Linked DNA regions of Ovis aries. Each later gene encodes a partner of the first gene's protein in a complex. Links are inferred from orthologs where the notes say so. Each region holds a gene or a part of one and is shown in the gene's direction. Other genes may lie near its edges.

The links. Proteins that work in one complex are often made in the same cells at the same time.
Region 2: the proteins of UBE2E2 (region 1) and DET1 are in contact, whole or in part, in a cryo-EM structure (PDB 9BJZ), measured with the Homo sapiens proteins. The link is inferred for Ovis aries from reciprocal best matches to the Homo sapiens genes UBE2E2 and DET1. Residues at the interface, in NP_001357154.1 of Homo sapiens: Ala77, Gly78, Pro79, Lys80, Gly81, Arg88, Ser89, Thr90, Gly101, Val103, Phe105, Phe123, Arg124, Thr125, Arg126, Ser134, Gln135, Gly136, Gln194, Trp195, Arg198, Tyr199, Ala200, Thr201; in NP_001137546.1 of Homo sapiens: Arg258, Phe259, Tyr261, Asp264, Thr267, Val268, Phe272, Glu274, Asp289, Pro290, Phe291, Ile292, His297, Arg298, Leu300, Val301, Trp304, Arg305, Phe319, Phe320, Gln321, Phe323, Asp324, Arg327.
Region 3: the proteins of UBE2E2 (region 1) and RLIM are in contact, whole or in part, in a crystal structure (PDB 6W9A), measured with the Homo sapiens proteins. The link is inferred for Ovis aries from reciprocal best matches to the Homo sapiens genes UBE2E2 and RLIM. Residues at the interface, in NP_001357154.1 of Homo sapiens: Lys52, Thr55, Lys58, Arg59, Lys62, Pro112, Asp113, Pro115, Phe116, Ile142, Asn146, Trp147, Ser148, Pro149, Ala150, Leu151, Thr152; in NP_057204.2 of Homo sapiens: Ser571, Val572, Cys573, Ile574, Thr575, Cys596, Arg599, Trp600, Pro608, Ile609, Arg611.

What each region holds. Positions count from the first base shown.
Region 1 is NC_056079.1:41,733,796-41,741,247, reverse strand, and holds part of UBE2E2 (ubiquitin-conjugating enzyme E2 E2), read left to right. Parts: intron 1-3,678; coding exon 3,679-3,811; intron 3,812-7,452.
Region 2 is NC_056071.1:18,916,559-18,924,010, reverse strand, and holds part of DET1 (DET1 homolog), read left to right. Parts: coding exon 1-779; intron 780-4,943; coding exon 4,944-5,131; intron 5,132-7,452. UniProt on the Homo sapiens protein: Component of the E3 ubiquitin ligase DCX DET1-COP1 complex, which is required for ubiquitination and subsequent degradation of target proteins. The complex is involved in JUN ubiquitination and degradation.
Region 3 is NC_056080.1:66,760,583-66,768,034, reverse strand, and holds part of RLIM (E3 ubiquitin-protein ligase RLIM), read left to right. Parts: intron 1-1,960; 5' UTR 1,961-1,984; coding exon 1,985-2,153; intron 2,154-3,015; coding exon 3,016-3,099; intron 3,100-4,554; coding exon 4,555-6,134; 3' UTR 6,135-7,452. UniProt on the Homo sapiens protein: E3 ubiquitin-protein ligase.

The sequences.
Region 1 (7,452 bases):
CCGAGATGCCGCATGTCGGTGAGGTCCTGTGGCGTTTGTCTTTCTGCGTCCGACCTGTTTCCTTGCGCGTCGTGCCCGCGAGGTCATCTGTGCTGCCCCGAACAGCGAGATTGCCATTTTTATGGCTCAGTAATATTATATATGTATATATATATACACACACATATATATATACACACACATATATATACATATATATACACACATATATACACACACACACACACATATATATACATATATATACACACATATATATACACACACACATATACACACATTCCACATCTGTATTTGATACATTTATTTTTATATGATATATGATAGTATTATATATGTGCTGTGTACTAAGTCACTTCAGTCATGTCTGACTCTTTGTGATCCCATGGACTATACCCTGCCAGGCTCCTCTGTCCATGGAATTCTCCAGGCAAGAATATTGGAGTGGGTTACCATGCCTTCTTCCAGGAGATCTTCCTGACCTAGGGATCGAACCCACGTCTCTTAGGTCTCATTCGTTGCGGGCAGGTTCTTTACTGCTAGTGCCACCTGGGAAGCCCCATATATTATCATTTATATATATGCACATCTTCTGGGTATGTATCCAAAGAAATGAAAACAGTAGAAGAATATGCATCCCAGTGTTCACTGCAGCATTGCTTACAGTGGCCAACATATGTGTATATATATGTCATAGATGAAGTGAAGTGAAATGTTAGTTGCTCAGTCGTGTCTGACTCTTTGTGACCCCATGGACTGTAGCCCACCAGGCTTCTCTGTCCATGGAATTCTCCAGGCAGGAATACTGGAGTGGAGAGCCATTCCTTTCTCCAGGGGATTTTCCCAACCCAGGGACCAAACCTGGGTCTCCCACAGTGCAGGCAGATTCTTTACAGCCTGAGCCGCCAGGGAAACGCATGTCATAGATATAGTGCAATGCTTATATATGTGGAGAAGGCAATGGCACCCCACTCCAGTACTCTTGCTTGGAAAATCCCATTGATGGAGGAGCCTGGTGGGCTACAGTCCATGGGGTCGCTAGGAGTCAGACACGACTGAGCGACTTCACTTTCACTTTTCACTTTCATGCATTGGAGAAGGAAATGGCAGCCCACTCCAGTGTTCTTGCCTGGAGAATCCCAGAGACGGGGGAGCCTGGTGGGCTGCCGTCTGTCAGGCCGCACAGAGTCGGACATGACTGAAGCGACTTAGCAGCAGATGTATACATATCTCACAGACACAGCGCAGTGAATATACATACGTGTCATAGACGTGATGCATATACATACGTGTCAGACATGTACATACATATGTGTCATAGGCGTGATGCACACATACATGTCATAGACGTGATGCGAATACATGCGTGTCATAGACGTGATGCATATACATGCGTGTCATAGACGTGGTGCATATACATACGTGTCAGACATGCACGTACATACATGTCATAGACGTGATGTGCATACATGCGTGTCATAGACGTGATGCATATACATGTGTGTGTGTTGTAGACGTAATGCATATGCATATATAAACCACGACGCCACGTGTTCCTCATCCATTCGTCTCCTGACGGGCACTCAGGTCGCTTTTGTGCCCTGGCCGCCGTCAGCGACGCCGCAGTGAACGCTGGGACGCATATTCTTTCCGCATCACTGTCTGCGTGTCTGCTCGCCGGATTGCACGGCCACTCTACCTTCAGTTTCCTGAGGACTCTCCACACTTTTCCACAGCGGCGGCACCAGTTCACATTCCCGCCAGGAGTGCAGGAGGCTCCCTTTCTCTCTTCACATCCCTGTCAGCACCTGTTGGTTGCTGTCTTTCTGATGACTGCCGCTGTGACGGGCCTGAGACGATACCCATTGTGGTTTTGATTTGCATTCTGTGATCAGTGATGTTGAGCGGCTTTTCCTGAGCTTGTTGGCCATGGGATGTCTTCTTTGGAGAAATGTCTGTTTAGGTCCCTTGCCCACTTCTTAATAGGTTGTATGTTTTTTTATGTTGAGATGTATGAATTCTTCGTGTTCTCTGGATATTGTCCCCTTAATGAATTTGTTATTTGCAAATACCTTCTCCCATTCAGTAGGCTGCCATTTCATTTCAGAGATAGTTTCCTTCTCTTGCAAAAGCTAGTTTGACGTAGAGCGACTTCACTTTCGCTTTTCACTTTCATGCGCTGGAGGAGGCAATGGCAACCCACTCCAGCGTTCTTGCCTGGAGAATCCCAGGGACGGGGGAGCCTGGTGGGCTGCCGTCTCTGGGGTCGCACAGAGTCGGACACGACGGGAGCGACGCAGCAGCAGCAGCCCTATTTGTTCATTTTCGCTTTTGTTCCCCTAGCCTGAGAGACATCCCCAAAATGTTGCTGAGACAGACGTCAAAGAGTGTACTGCGTTTGTTTTCTTCTCGGATTTTTATGGGCTTGGGGCTTACATTTAGCTCTTAATCCCTTGTGAGTGTAATGGTGTATATAGTGTGAGAAAGTCTGGTCTGATTCTTGCGTGTCGGTGTCCAGTTTTTCCAGCGCCATTTATTGAGGAGGCTGTCTGCTCCCTGGTGTATTGATGTATTCTCATCCATAGTCATAGATAATGACGCATGCTGTTTTGGTCTCCTGCCCAACAATGAAGTTGTTGTAGATACGAAACTAATTTCACAGTATGAAAGAAGACAAATCTTTGTGGGCAATAAAATCTTCCCAAGCACCGTAACAGGACTGCCCGCTTTGCTGCAGGGTGTGAGGGGATTTCTGGCTGGTGTGCTGTGAGGTTGGTGTGGCAGGAAGAACGCTGGAGGGCTTAACTATGATCTCGCTTTGCCTTCTGTTACTCTGGGAGAACGGGGACAGTTCAGTTGGCTCGTGTGGGTCTTCTTTTCGCCCGTGAGTTTCTCTGCAGCGGGGGAGCACAGGTTTGCCGCTAGTAGCCGCGTGGCTTCCCTCGCTTGGCTGTTACTCCAGCAGCAGCGTCTGCCGACTCTGATTTACTGAGTACCAAGAACAAGGCAGAACCTGGTCCTCAGAGGACTTCCAGAGAGGGGCGGGAAAGCAGGCAGTTTCAAAGCACAGGTCTAAACAAAATGCTGCACCCTGTCTTCTACAGCCCCCCTGGTGGGACGGGGCGCTGGGCACATTAGCAGGGACTCTCGGTGGAGTGAGAAAAGAAGATGCAGATGTGATACTTGGGCTGAGCCTTGTGAATGATGACCATTTCCTGGTCTCCATCAACCTCCCTGCTGCTTTTAGTTTACAAAAGCATTAGACTATTTTTTTTCTTTTGCATTCCTTCTAGCTTTGAAAATTTGTCTCTTTGACCTTATGCCACCCTTTCAGAGTCTCAGAAATAATTGTATGCTTGATTAAACATTTTGCTCCAGTAAAAATTAATTTAAAAATTTTGCTTCTGGTCTGTGGTCCTTGGAATCTTTTGTTTCATAGGTTTAAGCTTATGAATAGCAAAACGGAACTTCTTGGTTCTGTATAATTTAGTGATACCAGCATATTTCATTTATAGAATACTGTCGATATTGACACGTGAATCCTCATTTGGAATTAACCTATTAACTTTGGTGTGTTTTCTATGGAATGGCTGAATTTGTTATCATAAATAGATATTTTTACAATTCCAAGCTTTGTTATCATCTCTAAGCACATTTCATTTGTATGTCTTATTCCAGTGCTGGACCCAAAGGAGACAACATTTATGAATGGAGGTCAACTATATTGGGACCCCCAGGATCTGTCTATGAAGGAGGGGTGTTCTTTCTTGACATAACCTTTTCACCTGACTATCCGTTTAAACCCCCCAAGGTCAGTATGACGTCTTCATCCATTTTCAGCTATGTGTATTATCGCTTTTTTATATGTATATATATACCCACATTCTTCAGTACGCACACCTCGGGATGCATGTCTGTTCTGTTAGCATAGACAACTTCCCAGGACTGATTGTATGTAAATGGAAAAATTGTTGTTTATTCCCTCACCCCGACCTTTGACGCACACCTCATTGCTCCTTCTCATCCTTTCTCGTATTGCCGTTTTTGTGGTGTATGTTTTAAGGTGACGTCAGACAGCCTGTTAACGGATGGAAGTAGGAAACAGGATGGGCTGGCGCCAGCTCCGGGGCCAGGAGACCCAGGCGTGGCCTGGGCTGAGGGAGCTCCTCCAGGAGCCGGCCTGGGTGCCGCCTGTGAGCCCCGAGCCGTGGTGCCTACGCAGCTCAGCTGCCCCCAGGAGGTGCGCACGCATCAGACGAAGGTGTGTGCACCCACATTAGGCGAAGAGACTGAACGATCGTGTCAGGAAGATTCAGTAAAGGAGAATGTGTATTTGTCCATTGATAAAAATGATGGGCTGATGAAAAGTCGTACATAAACGGCTAAAGAAAGTCTGAGAGTCCAGCGTTGTCAGGACGTGGGTGATGAAATTCATTCAGGGTGCTATTATTTCCTTTAAGCATTCTTCACGTTACTTTCTGCTGCACGTGAGTCACACGTGTGACGACTCTGAGTCCATGCCCTTTCTGAAGAGGTTTTGTCTTAGGCCGGAGCACAGCTGGCCCACAGCATGGTGTTGGTTTCTGGCGTGCAGCAAGGCGATCCAGGTATCCACACACTTGTGTCTACGCGTTTGCAAGTTCTTGTCCCATACAGGTTAGCACAGAATAGTGAGCAGAGCTCCTTGTGCTCTGCAGGAGGTCCTTGCTGGTTATCTGTTCTAAGTATAGCAGGCATTCTCCACGTTGGAAATGCAAAGACCCAGAGAACGCTGCCTCTGTTGGCCACCAAGACGGAATTCTCATTTGACCCGGCTTCACTTCTGAACATTGTGGGTTGGAGTAAACACTTTAAAAAGCAAAGCTCGGCCTTGACCTTCCCCGTGATGTCCGGGGGTCCCCTCCCTGCCTCCCATGCCCCCTTCTATTTTTCTTCTCTTCCTTCCTTTCCACTGAGACTTGGCTGTTATTTTGGTGTCAAATCGAGAAGTAATGACTGTCATTTTACCAAATAGGAGAGCCACGCACAGAGAAACTAGCTAACTTGCCCAGCATATCCTACACTGTCAGGACTGAAGCCACACACAGGACATCTTATCCAGGATGCCAGAGCTGGCGGCCCCGGGCCCCCCAGGGCTGCGTTTGGTCAGTTGCAGTGATGAAGCCGCGGTACAGCTGACCTTTATTTCCTCTGAAGGGGTGGGGATCGGGCGGCCTTCTCTTCTTTGCACCAGCCCCCGAGTCGTCTGCGTACCTGTCGCTCTGCCGGGGACACGAGGGCCTGTCTCGGGCAGGCCCTTCAGTAACAGAGATGCCGACAGGCAGGAGAGCCAGGGGCTCGGATGAGGCAGTTGTGCTGCTCGGGAGCCTGATGGAGTCTGCTTTATGAAACATACATCTCAGAAAAAGCGTGGGCATTTCCAGCTTCTGCAGGACAGAAGTGTGTCGATTAAACAAAGCAAGGAGGGAAAGCGGGTAGGTCCGACAGTCCCATTTCTGAAAAGGTGTCTCTGATGGGCCCCGAGGATGGGCCAAAACCAACAGGATGGAATGGAAACAGCTCAGTGGGGGGCGTGTCATTGGAAATCAGAGCGAGTCCTGCTATGGGACAGGAAATGGAGACTTGCTCTGTTTCCATATAAATAATAATGTGTGGGCTTCTGAGTGAGCACAGTTCTGTGGGAACTGCAGGGTCCTGAGACCTTAAGCAGATACTCTCAGGAGCACAGTCTCTGGAACTCTGAGCCCGTCGTGCAGTGCCGTCAACGCCTCATCCACTTCCGAGCTCTTCGTCTTTAGGAGGGCACGCAGGAGTAAGCTGGGGAGGGAAAGAGCTGGCATGCTGCAGTGTCTCCACCGGCTCAAGCTCTGCAGTGGGCAGCTGCGGGCCAAGCCGCCCCTCCTCCAAACACCCTAGTAAGACTGGGATATTCCCTTTCACAGAGGAGAGAACTTATATGAGGCTTAGAGAGGGTTTCTAATAATAAGCAATCAGGAATCTATTGAACTTGGCCTCCGGGGACCATGTACTTTCCACTGAATTATACATAGTTACCCTGGAGATGTTTACTAGGAAAAGTAGGTCCTGGGAGGAATGTGATAGCTGTCCTTTGATGTCCATGGTGTGGGTTGGGTTAGACTGGCTTCTGGGTGACTGGATGGGACAAAAATAGAAGGGGCGGGCGTCAGTCACAGGGAGGCAGACTTCTATTCCCTGGGGGGAAGACCTGACCCATCGCGGGACAGCCTGCTTCTGAATAGCTCTACCTCTGAGAAGGGGCTTCCCTTTCCTGGGAGTGTTCAAAGCAAACAGCTGAACTGGAACCTGTCAAGAAGACTGCCAGAAAAAAATTAAATCCCTCTAGCGGATAAATCTGCTTAGACAATCCGTGATGACAAAGGAAAATCAAACTTTGGGTATTGAATCATCATTTAAGTGCACATGTAGTAGAAACCCGTAGGAAATTTTAAAAGAAATTGTCACCAGCTAACTTGTCAGTTTTAGAAGTCAGATTTTGTGGACAGAAGTATGACTTGAAGGGGGAAAGTTGGCGCGTGTCTTGAAAGCTTTTCACTGAGACAGACTTGCTGCTGCTGCTAAGTCGGTCAGTCGTATCCGACCCTGTGCGACCCCGTAGACGGCAGCCCACCAGGCTCCCCCGTCCCTGGGATTCTCCAGGCAAGAACCCTGGAGTGGCTGCTATTTCCTTCTCCAATGCATGAAAGTGGAAAGTAAAAGTGAAGTCGCTTCAGTCGTGTCTGACTCCTAGCGGCCCCATGGACTATAGCCCACCAGGCTCCCCTGTCCCTGGGATTCTCCAGGCAAGAACACTGGAGTGGGTTGCCATGTCCTTTTCCAATGCATGGAAGTGAAAAGTGAAAGTGCAGTCGCTCAGTCGTGTCTGACTCTTCGAGACCCCATAGATGGCAGCCCACCAGGCTCCCCCTTCCCTGGGATTCTCCAGGCAAGAACCCTGGAGTGGCTGCCGCTTCCTTCTCCTGACTTACTAATAACTTGGAAGTACCCTGCCCGTCCTTCCAAGTCTCTTGGTGCTCTCAACAGCCCATATCTGGGGTTAAGTCTTGTTTTAGGTGGCGCTAGTGGTAAAGAACCCGCCTGCCAATGCAGGAGATGTAAGAGACAAGGGTTCGATCCCTGGGTCAGGCAGATCCCCTGAAGGAGGGCTTGGCAACCCTTCTTGCCTGCAGAATCCCACGGACAGGGGAACCTGGCGGGCTCTAGTCCACCGGATTGCAGAAAGCCGGACAGGACTGAGGTGACTTAGCATGCACGCACACGCTGGTTTTTATTTCTCTGTTGCCTTCATCCTTTGCTCTTTTTCCAGCTATCTTAGGCACACACTTGGGTTTATGTAACATTTTCTGATACCCTCAAGAGTGAACCAGGGTAGCTGTAGTTGTCAGAGAAAATGGTGAGGGAGAGCAGAGGCCC
Region 2 (7,452 bases), on another chromosome or scaffold:
GGGAGATTCTGGCCAACGGCAACGACCAGCGGTCCGTCAACATCCGCGGCCGGCTCTTCGAGCGCTTCTTTGTCCTGCTGCACATCACCAGCGTCGCGGCCAACGGCGAGCACCTGAACCGGGAGTGCAGCCTCTTCACGGACGACTGCCGCTGCGTCATCGTGGGCTCCGCCGCCTACCTGCCGGACGAGCCGCACCCCCCCTTCTACGAGGTGTATCGCAACAGCGAGTCCGTGACCCCCAACCCCCGGTCCCCCCTGGAGGACTACTCCCTCCACATCGTTGACCTCCACACCGGCCGCCTGTGTGACACGCGCACCTTCAAGTGTGACAAGGTGGTCCTGTCGCACAACCAGGGGCTGTACCTGTATAAGAACATCCTGGCCATCCTGTCGGTGCAGCAGCAGACCATCCACGTCTTCCAGGTGACCCCCGAGGGCACCTTCATCGACGTGAGGACCATCGGCCGCTTCTGCTACGAGGACGACCTGCTCACCGTGTCGGCCATGTTCCCCGAGGTGCAGCGGGACAGCCAGACAGGCATGGCCAACCCGTTCAGGGACCCCTTCATCAACTCCCTGAAACACCGGCTGCTGGTGTACCTGTGGCGCCGGGCAGAGCAGGACGGAAGCGCCGTGGCCAAGAGGCGCTTCTTTCAGTATTTTGACCAGCTGCGGCAGCTGCGCATGTGGAAGATGCAGCTTCTGGATGAGAACCACCTGTTCATCAAGTACACCAGCGAGGACGTGGTGACTCTGCGGGTCACAGACCCGTCGCAGGTAGGAGCTGCCGCCCCGCCTGTCGCCCTCCCGCCACCTCGCGGGAGGCTTCTTCTGCCTGTTCCCAGCCTCTCGGAAGCAACACCTTTTATGTGGATCTTGAATTTTTGCTCCCCTAGGGCCGAACTTAGAACAGCTCCACTTATCTCTGGCCATATGTATTTGTTTGGACAAATGGAAGCTAAATCTCAAGCCATTGACATATAGGTAGTCAACCCTGTGAATATTGTCCTATTTCTCTTTTTTTTAATATATATATTTTTGCAACTTTACTCTTTTGGGGGCTGCGCTGGGTCTTTGCTGCAGCAAGCAGGGCCATCCTGCTTGCCCTGCAGCATGTGGGATCTTCATTCCCTGACCAAGGACCAAATCTATGTCCCTTGCATTGGAAGGCAGTTTCTTAACCACTGGATCACCAGGGAGGTTCCCTACCCTAATTCTTCTGTAGAGCATTTTCAGTACCCTGGAGATGGAAGCCCAGATGCTCTAAGGTTAAGATTTGACTCCCTGTGGATAGTGCCTTGGTTTTGTGGAAGATTGTACTTATTGGTCTGTTTTAGTTCTGGCAATGAGAATGAACCCATCATACAAAAAAGGAAAATCTTCCAAAAGTCTAGTCTTTTTTCTTGTTTAAATGATGTCAGTATACTTTCTCACAATATCTTTAGATTGTAACTAGTCTTTTTCTTACTGAAATGAACTCAGTATACTTCCTCACAAAATCTTTAGATTGTAACCAATGGGACAGTTCATTTAATAGAGTTAAGCTCTATGACTTTACTCTGACCTTGCCCACATGCTGGAACATAGACTGTGGAGCAGTGATAAGATGGGAAGGAAGTAAAAGTTTTTGATCTACCAGTGAATCACCAGGACTGCAGGTTCTGAGGGTTTTTTAGTTTGGGTGAAAGATGTTGATGGGGAAGACGCATTTCACAAATAGGAATAAGGTGTTGGGTTAAGAGTATAGAAACCGTGAAGATGGTTGGGTTGAAACACCATGCTGAACCTCAGGGTGATGTGGACATTTACCTTTGAGGAGCTGTCTACTTTATTGTTGACCAAGAGAGACCTAACTTCTTTACAGTTCAGTTCAGTTACTCAGTCATGTCTGACTCTTTGCAACCCCGTGGACTGCAGCATGCCAGACTTCCCTGTCCATCACTAACTCCCGGAGCTTGCTCAAACTCATGTCCATCAAGTTGGTGGTGCCATCCAACCATCTCACCCTCTGTCGACACTTTCTCCTCTTGCCTTCAATCTTTCCCAGCAACAGGGTCTTTTCCAATGAGTCAGTTTTTCACATCAGGTGGCCAGAGTATTGAAGCTTCAGCGTCAGTCCTTCCAGTGAATACTCAGGACTGATTTCATTTAGGATTGACTGGTTTGATCTCCTTGCAGTCCAAGGGACTTTCAAGAGCCTTCTCCAGCACCACAGTTCAAAAGCATCAGTTTTTCAGTGATCAGTTTTCTTTATGGTCCAACTCTCACAACCATACATGACTACGGGAAAAACCATAGCTTTGACTAAATGGACCTTTGTCAGTGAAGTCATGTCTCTGTTTTTTAATATGCTGTCTAAGTTTGTCATAGCTTTTCTTCCAAAGATCAAGTATCTTTTAATTTCATGGCTGCAGTCACCATCTGCAGTGATTTTGGAGCCCAATAAAATAAAGTCTCTCAGTGTTTCCACTGTTTGCCATGAAGTGATGGGACTGGATGCCATGATCTTCGTTTTCTGAAGTTTGAGTTTTAAGCCAGCTTTTTCACTCTCCTCTTTCACTTTCATCAAGAGGCTCTTTGCTTTCTGCCTTAAGGGTGATGTCATCTACATATCTGAGGTTATTGATTTTTCTCCCTGCAATCTTGATTCAAACTTGTGCTTCGTCCAGTCTGGCATTTCACATGTTGTACTCTGCGTATAAGAGCAAGGTGGCAATATACAGCCTTTACGTATTCCTTTCCCAGTTTGGAACCAACACCCCACCCCCCATCATTCTCCTATTTCCACATTGTCTCCTTATATACGAGTTTGGAAGTGTACAACAGAACAAACCAGTAAACTGCCGTCAGCTGAGTCTGGTTTCTCTCATTGACTTGTAGCTGATTCTGCCCTTAAGAGAAACTACAGAAAATTTTCTCCTGAGACCTTACCAACCATCAGTGGAAAAATGGTTTCTAATATTTTTCTTCTGAATCATACCTTGTGTATTCTAAAAAAAAAAACAACAAAAACAAGGGTAGGGGAGGGGAGGTGACTAAAATGGTGGTGGTTTAGTTACTAAGTCATGTCCCACTCTTTGCAACCCTATGGACTGTAGCCTGCCAGGCTCCTTTGTCCATGGGATTTCCCAGGCAAGAATACCAGAGTGAGTTGTTATTTTCTTCTCCAAGAGATCTTCCTGGCCCAGTGATCCAACCTGCATATCCTCCATTGGAAAGCAGATTCTTTCCAGTGACATCAGGGAAGCCCATTGAGATCTGAGTAATAAATTCGTTAGAGATTTTTTTTTTCTGAATTTTTTTACTTCCTTATTAATGATGAAGTCACCATTGAGGGTGAGCGTCCAGTTCATCTCAGGCGTCATGAGAGGGTGTTGGTAGAGCCTTTGACTTCTGTACCCTTCTGTCGTGTATTTCCCAGTGTGCCCTGGTGGGAATGTTAGTAAATATTTGTGTAATTCTGTGTTCACACAGTCACGATGGATCCTGGTGAAGCCCTCATGTGATCCAAGTGTCGTCCAGGTTTATAGAAATGACATGAGTCCATCTTGTATTTAGGTTTGAGCTATAATTACCTTTTTGTTTTGGAGGGAGTATATTGTCTGTGACTGCCGCATTCGAGATTATCCTTTTCTCCTTCACTAAAACGTGACCTCCTTATGTCCGGTAGCTACAGTAAGTCATAGCCAGCAACATTGCTAGGGCTCTGTGCTTTGCTTACAGAATTTGTAACTTTAAACCCAAACTCTCCCCTCGTTTTCCTCCAGTCTCCTTCCCCAGTTTAATTTGATAGGTTCCAATAAGGTTAATGAGTAAAAAGTGTACCTCAACACAAAGCCTTGCTAATATTATGGGTATTATTCTCAGATTACCCTCCAGCCTCTTTAATTTACAGCTAAATTTAATTTCCAGGTGACCGCAAAAGTCATGTAATATAAGCTCTGGGAAGGACTAATTACTGGTGAAACAGGTGGGCCAGATGTCTCCAAAAATTGGTAATGAAGATTCAGGTTTAATCCTAGGAGGCAGAATACTAATCCTAGCGTTCTGGAAACTTCTAGAGTCCTGGTGGAAGACCCACACTGCCACATTCACTGTGACAAAAACTTGGGGTACCTCGTGCTTCCGTGTTAAGCTGAGCAGAACACTGGAGGTTCAGAGAAGAGGAGCAGGCACCTAGGGACCCATTCAGAGAAAGCAGTAACTCTGCCACCCAGAGCATCTGAATGCTTTTCATGTTTCCCCCTCTGATCTGTATTGCTACAAATGTCCAACATGTGTTACAAACGCTCTTGGCTAAAAGAACATTTATGAAGAAAGAAATGAAAACGCTTCTCTGACTTTTTCATTTGTCCAGCAGCAGTCCCCCGCTTGGTTACAACTTGCCCAGGTGGACATGGTGTGCTTAAGACGTCTCTCTGCATGTTAGAAATACTAAGAAAGAAAAGGAAGTGCCCCCAAATTGAACTTTCTGCTATACACATACAAGAGAAAATAATTTGCCAACAGGCAGCTCCTGACTGCAAATCACTTTCTCAGCAGGAAGGAAAATTAAATCTGGCATTTTAGAAAAGTGTTTTTAATCTCAGAATGGGTTGGGGCATAAGTAGGGAATAAGCACTTGAAAGGAAACATATTAAATTTGCACACAGTTTGAAATGAAAGATTGAAAGCCCTTTTATACATATATGCTGAACAACTCAGTAATTCCAGCAGCACAGGTACAGTGGGGAATCAGGCAGCTCTGAGGCCCTTGATGGCTCAATCCCACTGAGGCTTCCTCCTCTTCCAGAACCTCTAGGCATCATGTTGCTGCTGTAGTGCCAGAGTGGAGGTGTTTGCTTGTTTTACTTGGGGAGTTTGAGTTTTCAGCCGAATGGTGAATATGCTAGGTAAGGTCTTATGCTCAGCTGTCCCTTGGGTCTCTCTCTCCTTCTGCAGGCATCTTTCTTTGTGGTGTACAACATGGTAACAACAGAGGTGATTGCTGTGTTTGAGAACACGTCAGATGAGCTTTTGGAGCTCTTTGAGAACTTCTGTGATCTCTTCCGGAATGCTACCCTGCATAGTGAAGTCCAGTTTCCCTGCTCAGCTTCCAGCAACAATTTTGCACGGCAGATCCAGCGCCGGTAAGCTGCTCCCCTGGACTTAACAAGCTTAATTTTTCTCTAGAAAATGTGTTGGTGTGGAGCCAGTAGTTGTTTACTTCGGGAAACCTTCCCATGTTCTTTCTGCCCACCCGGCCTTGGGTCGGTCTGCCTGTTGTAACCTCCTGTGTCATCCTAAATGTCTCTCTCTTAGCACCCGAGCGATTACTTGTGTGTTGTCTGCGATTCCTCCTAGACTGTCTGTTACCTGCAGAGAGATAGAGACTGTGTCTTTGTTTAGTTTATTGCTGTATCTGCAGTGATTCACTGTCAAGCACTTAAAATAATTTTTGAATGAATCAGTGCAGTTGGGTTCAGTCGTTCAATTGTGTCCGACTCTTTGCAACCCCATGGACTGCAGCGGCCCTGTCCATCACCAACTTTGAATGAATAAGGAAGTAATTTTATAACTTTTGGTTAAACATGTGCATTGAACACATGCATTTATCTCTGCTGTATCCCAAGACCCTACTTAAAGTGACAGTAAAGGATGAAGAGATGTAAACCTACAAGAGCAAAGAGAGTGAGGAGGAGATATCAATAGAGTTTTAGAAGCTGAAGAGCCAGTGGATGGCTGATAACTAACTTGACATACCTCAAAGAACAAAAGAAGACTACAGAGCTTGCCCATCAAGAAGTAAACTGTCTTGCACCAGAGAACTCTGGAAAAAGTCAAGAAACTGGAGGTCCTGTATACCTCTGGAGGATTGGATGACATTCTTTTTTATTTTTGCTGTGCTTTGAAGCTTGTGGCATCTTAGTTCCCTGACCAGGGATCAAACCTGTGTCCCCTGTGGTAGAAGCGTAGAGTTTTAACCACTGGACTGCCAGGGAATCCCCTAGATGACATTCTTAAAGGGAATAGTCAGATACTCTAGTTCCTTTCCTTAAGCCTCCAACTGCCAAATGACTGTCTCTTCCTCAGGTCAGCAAAAGGCTAGAGGTTTATTCTCTGGAGAAATCGAACCATGCAGGCTCTGGTTTCAAGTTCATGAAACATGGCTGAGAATAGAAATGAGACTCATCATGCTTAAACCAAGAATTAAGTGAAAATTGATATACTGATGGGGTAGACTCCTATTCCTCTTATCAGATATGGTATCCAGGCATATACTCTTCAGGCAGGAGATTAGAGTTAATTCCCTAGGGAAACTGACCAACCTGAAGAAGAGACCATTGGAGGCCCTTCTCAGAACACCTAAGTCACCCTCAGTTGATACCCACCTGCTAAGAACCAGAGCTTCTCATAATCATCTGAGTATATTATTGTGAAATGACTAGTTGTTTTGGACCAAAGGCCTGGCTGCAACCCTGCTGAAGTCAGTCAGTGTTTCATCAAGTTCCACATACCTTGCCAGTTATAGAAAATAGCTGCTTTAGGTTCCAGTACAGATCAGATCAGAATGGATGAATCAGAGTAAGCATTACTGCTGCAGGGGGAAATGGGCAAAGCGGCTATCTCATTCACTGGCATCGTATTCCTGTAGAAGGACAGTACACGATTGAAAATAAGTGGATATTGATTTTCGGACGAGTAAACATGCCCTTTTATTTTTTCTGGTTCACACACATTTTCAGCCTGACTGGCATCTCTCTTCAGTATAGAAGGATTTTTGGAAGCAAAATATGGATCAGGTTTTGCTTTTTTCATTTTGAAATGAATTTTTGTCATTTAAAATTAAGTAGATTATTATCAACTGGTAGCAAAAGCTGGGTACAGTTAAAATATCACAGAGATCACCAGAAGGTCCAAGCTCCACGAGGGCAGGGGTGTTTATCTGTTATATATATACATCGCCATACCCACAGCACCTCGGCCAGTGTCTGCCGTTAGGGAGGAGCTCATTAGGCATTTGTTGAATGAATATCGTCAGGAATTAGAGGAGGCTGTGTTTTCTGAAAATTTATTTCACAGTGTACCCATAATTAAGTGAAATTGTAGGAAGAGAAAATAAACATTCTCGCTTCATGATCTTCAAAATTTTGCTTCTTACCAGCAAATGGTTCTGAAAACTGTAGATCTCACACATTAATGTTTAAGTTGCTCTTTAAATTTCTTACTATTAAATTTAAATAGTGGCAGAGGATGCAGTTTTCAGCATATTAAACACTGACATTTAAAAATAAAAGTATTACAAGATATAATTGGCATATAACTTTGTATAAGTTTAAGGTATTAAGACTTTTAAATATAGCCAGGGGACTCTAATACCATAGTAATTTAGTATTCATAGTTGACATAAAAAGCTCAGGGTAAGTTTTTCCTGTACTGTTTGAACTTTTCTATTTCTTCTTATTTTCAA
Region 3 (7,452 bases), on another chromosome or scaffold:
ATAAATGAGTACAATGTTTTATAATACAGGTCTACTAGTGAGAAGAATGGTATTCTTTTTGGTAGGATAACATTTTGCTTAATTGGGGCTAAACATTCTTTATCATCAGAATCATTTGCAGATGTCCATTGACTGTTATCTGATTTGAAATGAGATTTTACATATTTCGTTGCTGAAAATGTCTTCACACATACAAGTACGCTATCTAATCAATATACAAGCGTATGATTTTAATTGTAAATTTGCCCAACTTGATATATTTTTGCTCTACGCATATTTTTTTTTAACCACCATTTCAGTTGTAACACATCTTCACAGATTCCACCTCAGGTTGTTCTGAATTAGTGTTTCTCAGCTTCTTTGAAAATGTTATCACCTGTAGTTAGTTGTTCCATGCAAACTATTCAGAGACTACTTCTTTAGTTACTTCAAACTCCTCAAATAACTTGACTCTTTGAATAAGTAACTGAATAGTATCGGTTATATTTGTCAACTCGTCAAGAACCAAAGGGGACTACTCATTTGCTTCCTTGTTTTTCACTTGATGATTGATATATCCCAGTATCGTCACTTGTTGAGCAACTGTTCTCATTAAAAGGCTAATAATCTTAAACCAGTTTATTTTCTGTGGACTATTTGTTTAGCTTCTGCAGTCAAACACAAATTTAGCTAACATATCATTGATAAATGTCTTTCCTTGCTTAGCCAACAAATGAGCCACCTAGAAACTTAACTCTGGTTGAAGCTTCATTTTTTATTTTTGTGAGGAAATATTTTGTGATATTTGTTTTAAATTTTCTAATTTTTCAGACCATAGATTTCCTGTGAATTGAAAATACTATGATGAGTGCTTAGTCTAATAATATTAATGTATATTTTATTATTTTAGCACAGGTACAGTTTCAGTGTCATTGTATTATAAATAAAATACTTGCCATCTGCTCTAATAAAATAATCCATGTCCACTGTGCCTTTAGAGATGGTACTCAGTGTTCATCAAGTTTTACTGGAATACAGCTGTACACGTTCATTTACATATTGTCTGTGGGCTGCTTTCTTCCTATAATGGCAGAGTTGAGTAGTTGTGACAGACTATGTGGCACTGTCACTGCTTTGCACTGGTGGTCTGTGCACTGCAAGTCACAGTGATGGAATTATAACTTGACAGCATTTCAAGTGCCATGCTTACACTGTAACATTTTTCTAAATTACCAGTGCACACTCATAGTATTAAATGGAGAAAGTGGGCTTGACCATTAGCATTTTTAGAACTTCTATTCTACATGTCATATCTCTGTGAGAGGCAGTAGAGCATAGAGAAACCTGAATTCAGATTGTCCGGATTCAGCTTCTGGCCCTGTTACTTGTTAGTTGTGTAACCCTGATTAAGTTATATAACCCCTCTATACTTTAGTTTCTTCATCTGTAAAAAAAAGGAATAACAACAACAACAACAGTGTTTGTGCACAGTGTCATTGTGAGGACGAAAAAACAAAAGCAATTACAGTGCCAAGAATTCAGTAAGCTGCTTGGGTCTAACCTTGTTGAATAGACACCGTTCAATTCTTGCTACGCTGCTGAATTCTTACCTGTATTTCTCTAACCAAACTTTTCTCTGGACAAGTAGCTAAGAATTTATTTATTTGATCTCATACAATTTTCACACATCACAAAATATTCTCTTAGAAAAACATTTAAAAGTATAATAACCATCTCAAGGAGAAAAAATAGTCACCAGGGCTAAGTTTGGTCTATGGGCCATAGTTTGCCAATCCCTGACCTAGTCTTTTCCTAGTATAACAGTGCTTTTCAGTGTTTGTATTAGGAAGTTTCCATTCGAATATATGAGGTCTTAAAATTCATGTCTCAACCTGAATTCTGGATTTTCACACAATTAAAACTGTTATGTAGAAGATATACTGACTTTTGTTTTCAAGAGTGATCTCCTTTCTCCTTTTAGATAATTTTCCACTTGTTCATCAAGATGGAAAGCTCAGATTGTAACGATAAAGGAAGTGGTGATCAGTCTGCAGCACAGCGCAGAAGTCAGATGGACCGATTGGATCGGGAAGAAGCTTTCTATCAATTTGTAAATAACCTCAGTGAAGAAGATTATAGGCTTATGAGGGATAACAATTTGCTAGGCACCCCAGGTATGCAATGTGTAGTTTAAAGATTTATATAGATATATAAATTGCTGGTCTTTAAAAAAACAGCTGTTTTTTAAAAAAATGTTTTGTTTACCATTGTGAAGTATGATTTTAATACCAGGGATATAGAATGAAATTTACTGCTGTACTTATTACTTGATATTATTCACTCATATTTGGAATTATCCTTTGTCAGGATTTTTAGTGAGGAATTATATTATGAATTTATAGTAAGCTGAATTGAAAAGAGTGGAGCTGAACAATCTTTTTGTTATTTATCTTTATTTAACTCTACTAGACAGTGGTCTGGAAGAGCTAATGGGAACTTTGGTTCTTAGGACCTTGGGTAAAATAGTCAGTTATTCAGAAATTTGTGCTTGGTTATTCTTTTTTGTCTCATTAGGTCCGATTTGATTCTAGTTAAAATTCATTATATCACTTCCTCCTCATTTCTATTTAATTCTATTAACATTTGAGTGATTGCTTAAATTTTAAAAGGTAAGGTGTTAGCGTGGTTATTATGAGATGGAGTGTATTTTGAGCCAGGAGTACCAGACTTGAGTCAGAATGCCAGAGTTGGCATTCTTGCCCTACTATATATTAACGAATCAGCTCACTCACTCTGAGTTTCTTTGTCTTAAAATGCAGATAATATCTATCTCCCAGAGTTGCATTTTTGAAGAATGAGATATTGTATGCAAAAGCATATTGTAAACTGGAAAGGAATACAAATAAATAAAAGTTGTAATGTCATGCTCTCAAATAGGTGAATTTTACTCAGGTTCCTACTCTTTGGTTGTCATCTCCGATGGATAAGTCATTGGATTTTATTTATAATTTTGCAAATATTTTAAACTGTTCTCAGGTGAAAGTACTGAGGAAGAGTTGCTGAGGAGACTACAACAAATTAAAGAGGGCCCACCACCACAAAACTCAGATGAAAATAGAGGTAAGTTTTTCTTGGGAGAGGGGTGTAAAGGATGAAATGGATAAGGAGCTTCCTATGATAAATGTCAGCCAAAGATAATCCAAATCAGTAGCACAAATTAATTTGGTGTTAAGTAACTGCTCATAAAAAGAACTGGCATTTTCTTGATATTTGGTGAGAATGTTAACTTTTTTTTTCCTGCTTCACCTGTGGGATTATTTTGAGTGTTAATTGGGATATAGGAATGTCCTGTCTTAAATGTGATCATTTTTCTTTATTTTCCACCTTCATTGAAATTTCCCTGTACCCACTGAATTAGTCCTTCCTTATAAACCTGACTTCCTCACCAGCAGAAAGGTTGCAGTCTCTAATCTGATGGTTCTCAGTTGGGTATAATGTCTGGAGACATTTTTGGTTGGGAGTTTGCTGTTTGCTCTAGTGGGTGGAGGTAAGGGATGCTGCTGCTGCTGCTGCTAAGTCACTTCAGTCGTGTCCGACTCTGTGTGACCCCATAGATGGCAGCCCACCAGGCTCCCCTGTCCCTGGGATTCTCCAGGCAAGAACATTGGAGTGGGTTGCCATTTCCTTCTCCAATGCATGAAAGTGAAAAGTGAAAGTGAAGTCGCTCAGTCGTGTCCGACTCTTTGCAACCCCATGGACTGCAGCCTGCCAGGCTCCTCTGTCCATGGGATGGAGTGGGATGCCATCGCCTTCTCCGAGGGATGCTGCTAAACATCCTAAAATGCACAGCACAGCCCCCACAACAAAGAATTATTTGGTTCAAAATGTAAATAGTCACACTGTTAAGAAATCTTGTTCTTACTCAGGTCTGGTGTTTCTCCTTCAGGGTGAAATATGACAAGAATTAGGTTGTTGAATGTGCTGTATATGTACTATGCTAGGTTCAGACTCTTTACTTGTTCTGATCTCTAATTTCATGTTAATTTAAAATCTTGGTAACATGAAGAAGTAATCTTGTTTATATTTTTGCAATGTCTAAAGCAGTCCTATAGTTTTTAAATGTCTTGTATTATCCAAGGCACTTAAGAGCCCAAAGAAATGTTGTAGGCTAATAAAAATCTAACCAAGAAACTGCAATTTGAACTAAAATACTAGCCCTGTACCGCAACTGGTGTTTTACCTTATTTGATTATGTTAGTGTTTTGACAGTGGACTGAAAAAAATGTCTTCTGACAGTCCCCAGTGGTACACTAGGCTCTGTATACAATGCTAAAAATAGACTTCCTCCCAATTCCCTTTTTAAAAAAATGATTTAAATTTCTCTAGGATTCGCTTGCTGTTTTAAAATGGAATTGAAAGTTTCCTGCTTTTACTTGCCAATCAGTGCAGTATAGTTTAAAAAAATCTGTAAATTGAAATTTGTTCAGAATGTTTTTCTGTTAATAATATGAAGTTTCAGAGTATAATTTCTTATTTTTAATAGTTCCTTTTCTCCCCTCCCTGTTTAAAAAACAGGTGGAGACTCTTCAGATGATGTATCTAATGGTGACTCTATAATAGACTGGCTTAACTCAGTCAGACAAACTGGAAATACGACAAGAAGTGGGCAAAGAGGAAACCAATCTTGGAGAGCAGTGAGTCGGACTAATCCAAACAGTGGTGATTTCAGATTCAGTTTAGAGATCAATGTTAACCGTAATAATGGGAGCCAAAATCCAGAGAATGAAAATGAACCATCTACAAGACGTTCTAGTGGAGAAAGTATGGACAACAACAGCCAAAGACAAATGGAAAATCCACGATCTGAATCAACATCTGCAAGGCCACCCAGATCAGAACGAAGTTCAACTGAAGCATTAACAGAAGCCCCACCTACCAGAGGTCAGAGAAGGGCAAGAAGTAGGAGCCCAGACCATCGGAGAACCCGAGCAAGAGCTGAAAGAAGTAGATCACCTCTACATCCAATGAGTGAAATTCCACGAAGATCTCATCATAGTATCTCATCTCAGACTTTTGAGCATCCTTTGGTAAATGAGACTGAAGGAAGTTCTAGAACCCGGCACCACGTGACATTAAGACAGCAAATAAGTGGACCTGACTTACTAACTAGAGGTCTTTTTGCAGCTTCTGGAACAAGAAATGCCTCACAAGGAGCAGGATCTTCAGACACAACTGGCAATGGTGAATCTACAGGATCAGGCCAGAGACCTCCAACCATAGTCCTTGATCTTCAAGTAAGAAGAGTTCGTCCTGGAGAATATCGGCAGAGAGATAGCATAGCTAGCAGAACTCGGTCAAGGTCTCAGACGCCAAACAACACCGTCACTTATGAAAGTGAACGAGGAGGTTTTAGGCGTACGTTTTCACGTTCTGAGCGAGCAGGTGTGAGAACCTATGTCAGTACCATCAGAATTCCAATTCGTAGAATCTTAAATACTGGTTTAAGTGAGACTACATCTGTTGCAATTCAGACCATGTTAAGGCAGATAATGACTGGTTTTGGCGAGTTAAGCTACTTTATGTACAGTGATAGTGATTCAGAGCCTAGTGGCTCAGTCTCGAGTCGAAATATGGAAAGGTCAGAGTCACGGAATGGAAGAGGGGGTTCTGGTGGTAGTAGCAGTTCTGGTTCAAGTTCCAGTTCGAGTCCTAGTTCCAGTTCCAATGGTGAAAGTTCAGAGACTAGCTCAGAGGTATTTGAAGGCAGTAATGAAGGAAGCTCATCATCAGGCTCATCAGGTGCCAGGCGAGAGGGTCGACACAGGGCCCCAGTAACATTTGATGAAAGTGGCTCTCTGCCCTTCCTTAGTCTCGCTCAGTTTTTCCTCTTAAATGAGGATGATGATGACCAACCTAGAGGACTCACCAAAGAACAGATTGACAACTTGGCAATGAGAAGTTTTGGTGAAAATGATGCATTAAAAACCTGTAGTGTTTGCATTACAGAATACACAGAAGGCAACAAACTTCGTAAACTACCTTGTTCCCATGAGTACCATGTCCACTGCATCGATCGCTGGTTATCTGAGAATTCTACTTGTCCTATTTGTCGTAGAGCAGTCTTAGCTTCTGGTAACAGAGAAAGTGTTGTGTGATTAAGGTCTGAACTCTCAGCTACGTAGCTGGTATAGTGATGGGCAAACAGGAATCACTTGCTTTCTGTCCACTTTTTGAGTGGTGCTTAAATGTAAAGTAGCAACCAGAATTGAGTCATTGCTTTCTGAATGAGTCATTGTCCTTTCTCTAATTTCTGTTCCAAAATAAAAGGAAATATTTAAAAGCAACATGTTAGGACATAAAAATCTGACTTCAGTATCAGTAATTGTTATTACTGATGATTTATCATATACTTGTCAGTTTCTCCTTTGTTATCTTAAAAGGTCTGCCTTAGCAATGACTCTTACCTGTTTCATATTGATCTTTAAAGTTTCATATGCCATAGGAAAGAGGGGTGAAGGAAATTCCCAGTTTAGACTCAGTTACAGTACATGTTGCCTAAGTGACTGCTTAAAGCTATACCATTCCCAGTTATTAGTTGGCACACATTCAGCTACATTCTGAATATCATTTGTTCACCTTTCAGACAAGGTGATATTGGACTTATCAGTGTAAATAACACTAAGATTAGGATCTTCTAAGTGTATAACTGTCTTCTAAGCCCATCACTGTGGCACACTGTAGAGTGAGCTTATAGTTTAATTGAGATATTTATCTTGTGGAAATATTAAAAAAAAGGCCTATGCTTGTGTAAGTGAAAAAATCACATTCATTTGTTTAAAAATGTAAAGCTATTTTGTAGAGGCTCAGTACTTTTTCCAATGCACTGTTGTATTAATGCATTAAAAATTGTAAAGTACCATGCTTAGAAATGAAAAAAACTGCTTTTTGTGAGCCAACATAGTAAAAAAAAAAAAAAACAAACACACACACACACACACATACACCAAACAAAGTACAAAGCTGCTTTTGTAAGTGTGTAGATGTAAGAGCAGAACATATCTATAATATTTAATGTATGTGAACAGCTACTGTGACCTGCAAAGGAAAGGACAGTATGGATTTAGGCAGGAAATGAAAGAGGGAGTATAGAGAAAAGCGCTTGGAAGAACTTAAACTTTTCATGAAGACAGTAATTCCACAGATGTGAACTGGTTGCATATGGTGAGATCCTTGGCACAGTATTCTACTTGAGCAGATGAAGCAAATTTGGCAGTTTTGGTTTAAGAAAAACAAACCACTACCCCCTAGCACAAGTTACATTGAGGTTTTTGCAAGTTTGCTTCTCAAAAAAAAGAAAAGAATGGAGGAAAGAGACTGTAAACCACTTATTTAGCATAAGAATTGAAGTTGGCACAGATGTGTATACTAGTAGGAAAGTCTCAAATTTGCATTGTTTTTGGTATTTGTTATTCA